2 linked regions of the Macaca mulatta genome follow. The protein of the gene in region 2 binds, or shares a complex with, the protein of the main gene of each other region. Links are inferred from orthologs where the notes say so. Each region holds a gene or a part of one and is shown on either strand. Other genes may lie near its edges.

Region 1 (5,019 bases), about 91 Mb from region 2:
AGCCTGCCTCTAGCGTCCCAGGCCGCGCCGCACCACCCTCGCCTCGCCAGGCTCGGCCGCGAGGGAGCGCCCCGGGAGGGCCGGGGGCGGCCACGGCGGCGGGAGTCGCCTCTGCCGGTTGGGGAGGGCGGCGGCTGGGACAGGCGCAGGGCCTGCGCGGCCGCGGGGAGGGGGCGGTGGGCCGGGAGGAGCGCCCGGATCCAGCGCCCGGAGCCCGTCGGTGCCGCTGGCCGCCTAACTGGGCAAGGGTCCGGGGCGCCCACGTGGTGGGAAAGTTTCGAGGTAGCAAAAGTAGCCGGGCATTGCGGGGGGTGGGAGGGGAGGGGAGGGGAGGGGAGGGGAGAGGGCCGGGTCGCCCCTCCTTCTCGCGAAGGCAGAAAGGAAAAAAGCGGTGGGAAGCGGGGGTGAGCGCGGGGAGCGAGCAGCCCCAACCTGAACAGATTCCGCCTTCCCCTCCTCCCCCCACCCCGGGAAGCCCGAGCGGGGAGGCACGGACCGTCTCCTCTCGCACGGGCAGGACGACACCCTCCCTCCCCCCCTTTTTTCTGCCAACGTCTATCTCAACGCGCGCGCACATACGGAGATTGTGCGGCTTTTTTCCCCCTTGGGAGAAAAAACGGGGAGAGTAAAGGAAGAGAGGGCAAAGAGAAGAACTCCTCCTCGGCGAGCTCCGCACTCCGTACCGCGGCTCGGCGCGGGGACGCCGCCGCCGCCCGCCCGCTCTCTCCCGGCCCTGCGGCGGGTGCCAGTGCGAGCGCGAGCGAGGGCACCGCACCCGGGGACGCTGCGAGACTTTTCGGCGCTCGAGCCGACCTCGCGGCCGCCGCGGCAGGCAGAAGAGACAGGGGCGAGAAGGGCCCTGCCTCCTCCTCGCCTTCCTCGCCCGGAGCCCCGCGCCCGGCCGGGCCGCGCAGGCAGGCGGAGGGAAGGAAGGAGGGAGGCTGCGAGGAGGCGGGCGGAGCAGAGGCCACGGCGAAGCGCGCTGCGGCCGCCCGCCCGCCCGTGGATGCGGCGCCCAGGGAGCCTGGAGACAACTTTGCCGTGTGACGCGCCGGGAGGACTGCAGGGCCCGCGGCCGAGGGCTCGGCGCCGCCTGTGAGCGGGCCCGCGCGGCCGGCTCTCCCGGGCACCGCGCTTGCTCCGCGCCACTGCCCGCCGGCCCGCGGCGAGGACGACCTGCCCGTCTCCGCCGCCGGCGGCCCTTCCCGGCGCGAGGCAGTGAGGGCGAGGCGCTCAGGTGCGAGCGCGGGGCCCCGCCGCAGCGCCCGCCGCAGCGCCGCGCCAAGCCGCGCCCGGCTCCGCTCCGGGGGGCTCCAGCGCCTTCGCTTCCGTCTCGGCCAAGTTGGGTGGACCTGCTCTTTCGCCACCTTCCCCGGCCGCCGGCCGAACCGCCGCTCCCACTGCCGCTGCTTTCGCTTCACCCGAGCCGGGGCTGCGGGGCCCCCGACGCGGAGAGGATGGGGAGAAGGCTGCAGATGCCGAGGCGCCCCGAGACGCCCGTGCAGCAGTGACCCGCGACCTCCGCCCCGTCCGGCGCGCCCCTCGGGCCCCCGGGGCCCTCGGCGCCCCTTCCCCGCCGCGCGGGAACCCCCGCGGCCCGGCCGGCCCCCTCCCCCTGTGAGCCGGCGGCGGCCCTCCCGGCAGGCGGGCGGGCGGAGGCCCGGGCGGGGGCGGGGCGGGGCGGCGCGCCCGGAGCCCGGAGCCCGGCCCTGCGCTCGGCTCGGCTCGCCTCGCGGCGGGCGCCCTCGTCGCCAGCGGCGCACCATGGACGGGCTGCCCGGTCGGGCGCTGGGGGCCGCCTGCCTTCTGCTGCTGGCGGCCGGCTGGCTGGGGCCTGAGGCCTGGGGCTCACCCACGCCCCCGCCGTCGCCTGCCGCGCCGCCGCCACCCCCGCCACCCGGAGCTCCGGGTGGCTCGCAGGACACCTGTACGTCGTGCGGCGGCTTCCGGCGGCCGGAGGAGCTCGGCCGAGTGGACGGCGACTTCCTGGAGGCGGTGAAGCGGCACATCTTGAGCCGCCTGCAGATGCGGGGCCGGCCCAACATCACGCACGCCGTGCCCAAGGCCGCCATGGTCACGGCCCTGCGCAAACTGCACGCGGGCAAGGTGCGCGAGGACGGCCGCGTGGAGATCCCGCACCTCGACGGCCACGCCAGCCCGGGCGCCGACGGCCAGGAGCGCGTTTCCGAAATCATCAGCTTCGCCGAGACAGGTGGGTCCGGTCCTCCGGCTGTCTGCCGCGGTCCCCGCTCGCTCCCGCTTTCCCTCTCCTTGCCAGCTCCGGCTGCTGCTGCCGCCGCCGCCGCCGCCGCAGCCCGCGCGCCCTGGGGGCAGCCCGGACTCCCGGTAGGGCTCCTTCGGCCGTGGCCCTGCGCGCTCCGCCCGGGTTGCAGTCCTCTTCCCCCAGGCCGCAGACCCCCTTCCTGGTGCCTCAACCCCCCGCCGCCGAGCGCCTGGCCCTCCACCCCTGCTCTCCGGAATCGGGCCCCAGCGCCTCTGGGCGCGCGTCCCCCTCCCGGCAGATGCGCGCGGCCCTGGCTCTGCGGGCACTTGGTTGGTGATTGCTTAATGTTTTTGTTTCCCACGATCGGAGTGTAGGCTCAGCAGTGTGGATGGAGATGTGTGTGCTTGTTGATATACGTGGGCCGGAGGAGAGAGAGAGTATGTGTGTGTCTGTGTGTGTGTCTGTGTGTGTGTGTGTGTGCCTGCGTGAGAGGCCCCTGGGGCCGCTTCCATCACCGGCGGCGTGGGCTTGCCAGGATTGCTGAAGCCTCGCTGGGGAGAGCTAGGCAACCTCTCTTCCGATTGTGTGGGCACTGGAATCGGGCGGAAGGCAGGCTTCTCAACAGGTCCATCATTTACACAGAGAAAGCCGCGGCTCGGGGACAGCCCCGTGCCTTTCGGCTTGCCTGGCAGCTGCAGCAGACCCCTCGCCCGAGAGGCGCAGAGTCGTAGTTAACAAAGGGTATGGCTCCTTTCTGGAATCCGCACCCCCCCACTCGGCCCCAGATTGCAAATCTCTAACACTGTCTAAATATAAAAATCAGGGAGAGAAAAATCTTTCGGAACTTTAAAAGAAGAAGAAAAATGTGCCCGCGCCAAAATGCTGCAAGTGCTTTCGACTCCGCTGTCCTTTTCAGGACTTGAATGAGCCAGGCTGGCTTTTGTGCCTGGAGCTCGGCCCCATTTGTGCCGAGGGGACTGCGGAGAAGGTCGCAGAGGGGGAAGCCCCGGTGCAGTCAGGGCGGGGGCAAGCGGGGAGCCTGGGTGGGGGGAGCGGTTGTGCCCCTGGCTGTAAATGCCCCCCACCCCCCCAGGCAGCAGGCAGCCTGGGGATGAAAAGGGATGAAAAGTTTTGCATGGCCGGGTGTGGAGAAAAGCAGAGACAATCGGGGCTGGTTTGTGCTTAGAAAGAAATGCATTGCCGTTTTAGCTGTCCACTAAAGTGAGTCAGGGAAAGCTCGCCATGCAATTAGAGGGCTCGGATTAAAAGGTGCTTTGGGGCCCAGAGTTAGAAATGTGATTCTGGAAGGTCGAGGAGGCCTTTTGGTCCCGGTGGCACAAAATGACAGCGGGGGCTGTTATATTTCTGGTCCGTTTCACGGAGCCAGCTCTTTGACTTATAAATAACAGATTCAGGTCACAGGCAGCTCGTCCAAGACCAGCTTTTAAGGCTGCAGTTTCCCCCATTTCAAAGTCAGATGTCAGTGTTATTAGAGGAGCCAGGCGAGGCCTGAGGTGTAGGGGCTTGGGAGGGGCATGGTAGGAGGTTTGATAAAACCAGCCCTGACCACAGAGTTTCGTTATTTGTTCTTCCTGGAAAAAAAAAAAAAAAAAGGAAAGGAAAACGTAGATTGTCAGAGGGAAGGGTCACTGAAATGTAGGATGAGAGGGGAGTCATCTCTTGATTGGCACAGCCTCCTTCTTGTTGAGCTGAATTATTGAGAAAATTAACAAGCTAGTTCCCCTACTCCTTGGAGATTTTGAACGTGCCATTAACGGGGAGCCAGAGTCTTGTCAAAGGATTGGACCTCAAGTTTTAAGGCTGAATGTCCTGTCCCTTGAAACTACTCGGAAATAAGGGCTAGGCTCTGCAGCCTGCAAAGCACGCGTTCCTATGTCAGAAACCTGAGCAGAGCCTGCTTGTTTGCAGTGGAGGTTCCACTGGGGGTTGGATCAGATCATACTTAGGTAAACACTGGAAAGAGGCAGTAGGTGGCTCAGCTTGATTTTGCAATGCACTAAGTTAACCAAAAAAAAAAAAAAGAAAAAAAGAAAAAGCCCTACTAAAACCACCCACCCCAAAATCCTCCCTGCGATCCTGGTTTTGTTTTTCAGATTTCACAGATACCCATAACAACTTGTTAAGATCTTGGCCCCCTGACAAGTTCTTCTGTTGTGCTTTGAGGCCTGACAGCCTGTCTCCAGGGAGCCCTGGCCTGGGAGAGGTGAGGCAGGATTTGATAGGCCCGGACCCTCCAGCCCTAACCTGGTCCGGGTTTCTCAATGGGAAATGATTTTCTCTGCCTCTCCCAGGTTACAGTCAGAGGCCCTGGCCCCAAGAACGGTATTTCTGGTCAATAACGTTTTCCAGCTGTGTGGCGAGTTGCATTCCAGCATCCTGCAGCAGAGAGTGCGTTTCCCCCATTGCCTCGTGTTCCCCTTGAATTAACTTGGCTCGCTCTTCCCCTTTTCCGCAGATGGCCTCGCCTCCTCCCGGGTCCGCCTATACTTCTTCATCTCCAATGAAGGCAACCAGAACCTGTTTGTGGTCCAGGCCAGCTTATGGCTTTACCTGAAACTCCTGCCCTACGTCCTGGAGAAGGGCAGCCGGCGGAAGGTGCGGGTCAAAGTGTACTTCCAGGAGCAGGGCCATGGTGACAGGTGGAACATGGTGGAGAAGAGGGTGGACCTCAAGCGCAGCGGCTGGCATACCTTCCCGCTCACGGAGGCCATCCAGGCCTTGTTTGAGCGGGGCGAGCGGCGGCTCAACCTAGACGTGCAGTGTGACAGCTGCCA
Region 2 (4,523 bases):
TTCAGTGTTGTAATCCTATGAATCATGTCTAGAATATTTAAGCTATTGATAAAAGACCAGCATCTACAAAAATTTTAAGTTTTCTTATTACTGTTAATTTCATCTCCAGAATTTAGTTCTTAGTTTTGTTCAGACACATTATTTAAATAAATCAGCCTCAGTGCTAAGGTGCGTATGAATTAAGCCATACTAAGTAGGTACACGTTGAAAATAAAGAAACAAGTCAGAAGCCCCCAAGAAATATATTGGCCAAGTGTATTAGACTATTATTTTGGCTAGTCAAACACATTATAAAAGCCTACTGTAAGAAATGAAATAAAGATCAGATGTTGCTTTCGATAACCTTTTACTTTAGTATTCTCAGCAATGTTGGTAAATATTTATTAGCTGATAAATTATGTGGCAAATGTTCTACAAAAATTAGTTAAATCGGATTACATGTATAGAGAAAAACTGGCATTAAAAGTACATTAGGTTGTCATTTTAGGATAAGTCTATTGAGCATTTCGTCTTCTGGTTATTATATTGATAATTTGAATAATGGAAAGTAATTTTTTTGGTTGTGCGCGGTGGCTCACGCCTGTAATCCCAGCACTTTTGGAGTCCTAGTTGGGTGAATCATCTGAGGTTGAGAGTTCAGGACCAGCCTGACCAACATGGAGAAATCCCATCTCTACTAAAAATACAAAATTAGCCAGGCATGGTGGCACATGCCCGTAATGCCAGCTACTCAGGAGGCTGAGGCAGGAGAATCGCTTGAACCGGGAGGCGGAGGTTGTGGTGAGGCAAGATTGCGCCATTGCACTCCAGCCTGGGCAATAAGAGTGAAAATCTGTCTCAAAAAAAAAAAAAAAAGTTTTTGGTTTTTTTTTTTGCCTACTAATAGCCTAGTTTTTAAGAACAGCTTTATTTAAGTATAATTTATACCTGAAGTTCACTCAATTTAAGTGAACAATTCAGGTATTTTTTTGCAAATGTACAGACTTGTGCAACAATTACCACAGTCTAATTTTAGAACATATATGTACCCTAAAAAGAAACCATGTACCCATTCATAGTTACTCTTTGTATCATTGGTTTATCATACCTAATGATGTATATAACTTTGTATAACTACTATAAAATATGATAAAAGTAAGTACTATGCAATTTCCAAAATTATTCAGCCTTGTAGGTTTGTTTGTTTTGAAGACTTGGTAATTTTGAACATGGACATTTTCTTTGATGATATTTCTTTATTTGGACACCAAAATTATTTAATAGAAGAAAGAGTATGAGGGGATTGCTTTTGGGAAATGAGTTTTAAAATTTTCTTCTTGTTTGGAGTTTACAAATGAATTCATGAACAGAAGAACGTCATTGAATGTAAAATTACAAATTTAAAGATTTCAATTCAAATAATTTAGTAGGGAAATTTATAAAGTCATTCAGATAAGACAACGATTTTATGTAATAATATTTTGAAAACATTAAATAATTTGTCATTCCTTTATTTCCTTTATTTTAGCTTCGCAGAATCAAGAACGGCTATGTGCATTTAAAGATCCATATCAGCAAGACCTTGGGATAGGTGAGAGTAGAATCTCTCATGAAAATGGGACAATATTATGCTCAAAAGGTAGCACCTGCTATGGCCTTTGGGAGAAATCAAAAGGGGACATAAATCTTGTAAAACAAGGCAAGTGATACTTTCCTTACCTGAAATGACTGTGTTTTATACAATTGATATTTATCTAAAAAGGACATGGGAGTACGTTAAAATCCTGTTCAGAAAAACAGTGAATTTAAAAGTATATATATAAAGCTGGGTGTGGTATCTCATGCCTGTAATTCCAGCACTTTGGGGGGCCGAGGTGGGCGGATCCCTTGAGGCCAGGAGTTGGAGACAAGCCTGGTTAATAACATGGTGAAACCCCATCTCTACTAAAAATACAAAACTTAGTTGGGTATGGTGGTGTGTGCCTGTGGTCCCAGCTACTTACTCAGTAGGCTGAGGCAGGAGAATCACTGAACCTGGAAGGCGGAGGTTGTAGTGAGCTGAGATGGCACCAGTGCACTCCAGCCTAGGCAACAGAGCGAGATTCCATCTCAAAGAAAAAAAAAGTGTGTGTGTATGTGTGTATCTCTCTCTCTCTCTCTCTCTCTGTCTCTCTCTCTCTCTCCAAGCCCCAAATTTATAAAAGGCTGTTTATTTTTGGATTATTTTAAAAACATCTTTCTTATAATGTTATACATGCCCATTCTATGAATTTTGGAATATATAGAGAACTATAAAGAAAACAAAAGTCTACAATAATATACTCTTTAAAAATACTTTTACTGTATTTATCTTCTTCAGTATTTAAAAAGTATTTAAAAATACTTTTACTGTATTAGTTTATCTATCTTCATTTTCCACATGCCTTTATGTTTTTATATGCGTGTACTTTTTAAAAAATTAGGAACATACTGTATAAATAATTTCATATCCAGTTTTCTCCACCCTAATTATAAGCATTTTTTCCATGTCTTTAAAGAATCTCTGAAAACCTTTTTAACTTTTGCACAACTATCATCGTATATATGTATCATAGTTTACTTACAGATTATTCTATTGGTAAACATGTTATTTTCATGTTTTCACTGTAATGCAGAGTGAAACATGGTTGTTCAGTGAACAACTTTGAACATAATTGATTGTATGTGATTGTTTCCTTGAAATAGATCCCTTGATGTAGAATTATTAGGTTATAAGATATAGCAATATTTTAAAGACTCTGTATAAAAATTTCCATGTGGCTTTCTAAAAGTACTGTACTGTTCATTTATATTTCCTCCAACACTGTATGAAGGTGTCTGTGTTACTGAATCATTTCTCTGATATATATTATTTATTTATTTATCTATTTATTTATTTTTGAGACAGAATGTCACTCTGTCGCTCAGGATAGAGTGCAGTGGCACATTCATGGCTCACTGCAACCTCGACCTCTTGGGCTCAAGCAATCCTCCCAAGTCGGTAGGACCACAGGCAGGCACCACCATGCCCAGCTAATTGTTGTTTGTAGAGATGTGGTATGGCTGTGTTGCCCAGGCTGGTCTCAAATTCCTGGGCTCAAGTGATCCTCCTGCTTTGGCTTCCCAAGGTGCTGGGATTCTAGGCGTGAGCCACGGTGCCCAGCCATATTATTTTTTAAACCTAGAACAATATACTTTGTATAGACAAAAATGAAACCTTACTCTTGCTTTAATAATTCTTAGCTGGGCGTGGTGGCTTACACCTGTAATCCCAGCAGTTTGGGAGGCCGAAGCGGGCAGATCACCTGAGGTCGGGAGTTTGAGACCGGCCTGACCAACGTGGAGAAACCCCATCTCTACTAAAAATACAAAATTAGCCAGGTGTGGCGGTGGTGCATGCCTGTAATCCCAGCTACTTGGGAGGCTAAGGTAGGAGAATCGCTTGAACCCAGGAGGTGGAGATTGCAGTGAGCTGAGATCGCGATATTACACTCTAGCCTGGACAACAAGAGCGAAACTCTGTCTCAATAAATAAATAAATAAATAAACAAACAAATAAATAAATAAATAAATCTTAGATTAATCACGCAGTTAAACATGTTCCTTTTTCCCCCCATGAAATGTCTTTTGTATCCTTTACCATTTTTCTGTTTCTTAAAAATGTGTTTCCCGTTGATTTGCAAAACTGCTTCATAGCTTACATGTACTCTCACATTTATTGAAATTACTGCTTAGTTTGTTGTTTTTCTTTTAGTTTTCTTTATTGTATTGTCTCCTAACTTTTTTGTATTCATATTGATTTATAGGATGTTGGTCTCACATTGGAGATCCCCAAGAGTGTCACTATGAAGAATGTGTAGTAACTACCACTCCTCCCTCAATTCAGAATGGAACATACCGTTTCTGCTGTTGTAGCACAGATTTATGTAATGTCAACTTTACCGAGAATTTTCCACCTCCTGACACAACACCACTCAGTAAGTAAAGTAACTAACTTTTCTTTGTATTTCCTTTCTCCAAAGATTTGCAAAATAGAAAAAAAAAAACCATAAAAAACATTCAAGGTTGAGGCCGGGCATGATGGCTCATGCCTGTAATTCCAGCACTTTGGGAGGCCGAAGTGGGCAGATCACCTGAGGTTGGAAGTTTGAGACCAGCCTAGCCAACGTGGTGAAATCCCATCTCTACTAAAAATACAAAAAATTAGCCAGGCGTGGTGGCACATGCCTGTAATCCCAGCTACTCAGGAGGCTAAGACAGGAGAATTGCTTCAACCTGGGAGATGGAGGTTGCAGTGAGCCAAGATTGAGCCATTGCACTCCAGCCTGGGCAACAAGAGTGAATCTAAAAAAAAAAAAAAAAAAAAAAAAAAAAAGTTCAAGGTTGGTAGGAGTAAGAGGTAGAGTTCCAGCATCGTAAGATTATATCTGGCAAACACCTGAAATCCGAAAGAGATGCACTAGGCCTTCCAAGGCACCAATATATTACTAAATAACTTTGGTAAAATATAGTACTGGCCAGGCACG

Evidence for each region.
Region 1: the proteins of BMPR2 (region 2) and INHBB are in contact, whole or in part, in a crystal structure (PDB 7U5O), measured with the Homo sapiens proteins. The link is inferred for Macaca mulatta from reciprocal best matches to the Homo sapiens genes BMPR2 and INHBB. Residues at the interface, in NP_001195.2 of Homo sapiens: Tyr40, Tyr67, Leu69, Val80, Lys81, Trp85, Ser86, His87, Ile88, Gly89, Asp90, Gln92, Ile108, Gln109, Tyr113, Phe115; in NP_002184.2 of Homo sapiens: Phe309, Asn318, Asp319, Ile322, Ala323, Pro324, Gly326, Tyr327, Tyr328, Thr379, Met380, Ser381, Met382, Leu383, Phe385, Asp386, Asn390, Ile391, Val392, Lys393, Asp395, Ile400.

What each region holds. Positions count from the first base shown.
Region 1 is NC_133417.1:17,126,770-17,131,788, reverse strand, and holds the start of INHBB (inhibin beta B chain), read left to right. Parts: upstream 1-1,667; 5' UTR 1,668-1,764; coding exon 1,765-2,212; intron 2,213-4,700; coding exon 4,701-5,019. UniProt on the Homo sapiens protein: Inhibins and activins inhibit and activate, respectively, the secretion of follitropin by the pituitary gland.
Region 2 is NC_133417.1:107,675,713-107,680,235, forward strand, and holds part of BMPR2 (bone morphogenetic protein receptor type-2 precursor), read left to right. Parts: intron 1-1,507; coding exon 1,508-1,678; intron 1,679-3,803; coding exon 3,804-3,974; intron 3,975-4,523. UniProt on the Homo sapiens protein: On ligand binding, forms a receptor complex consisting of two type II and two type I transmembrane serine/threonine kinases.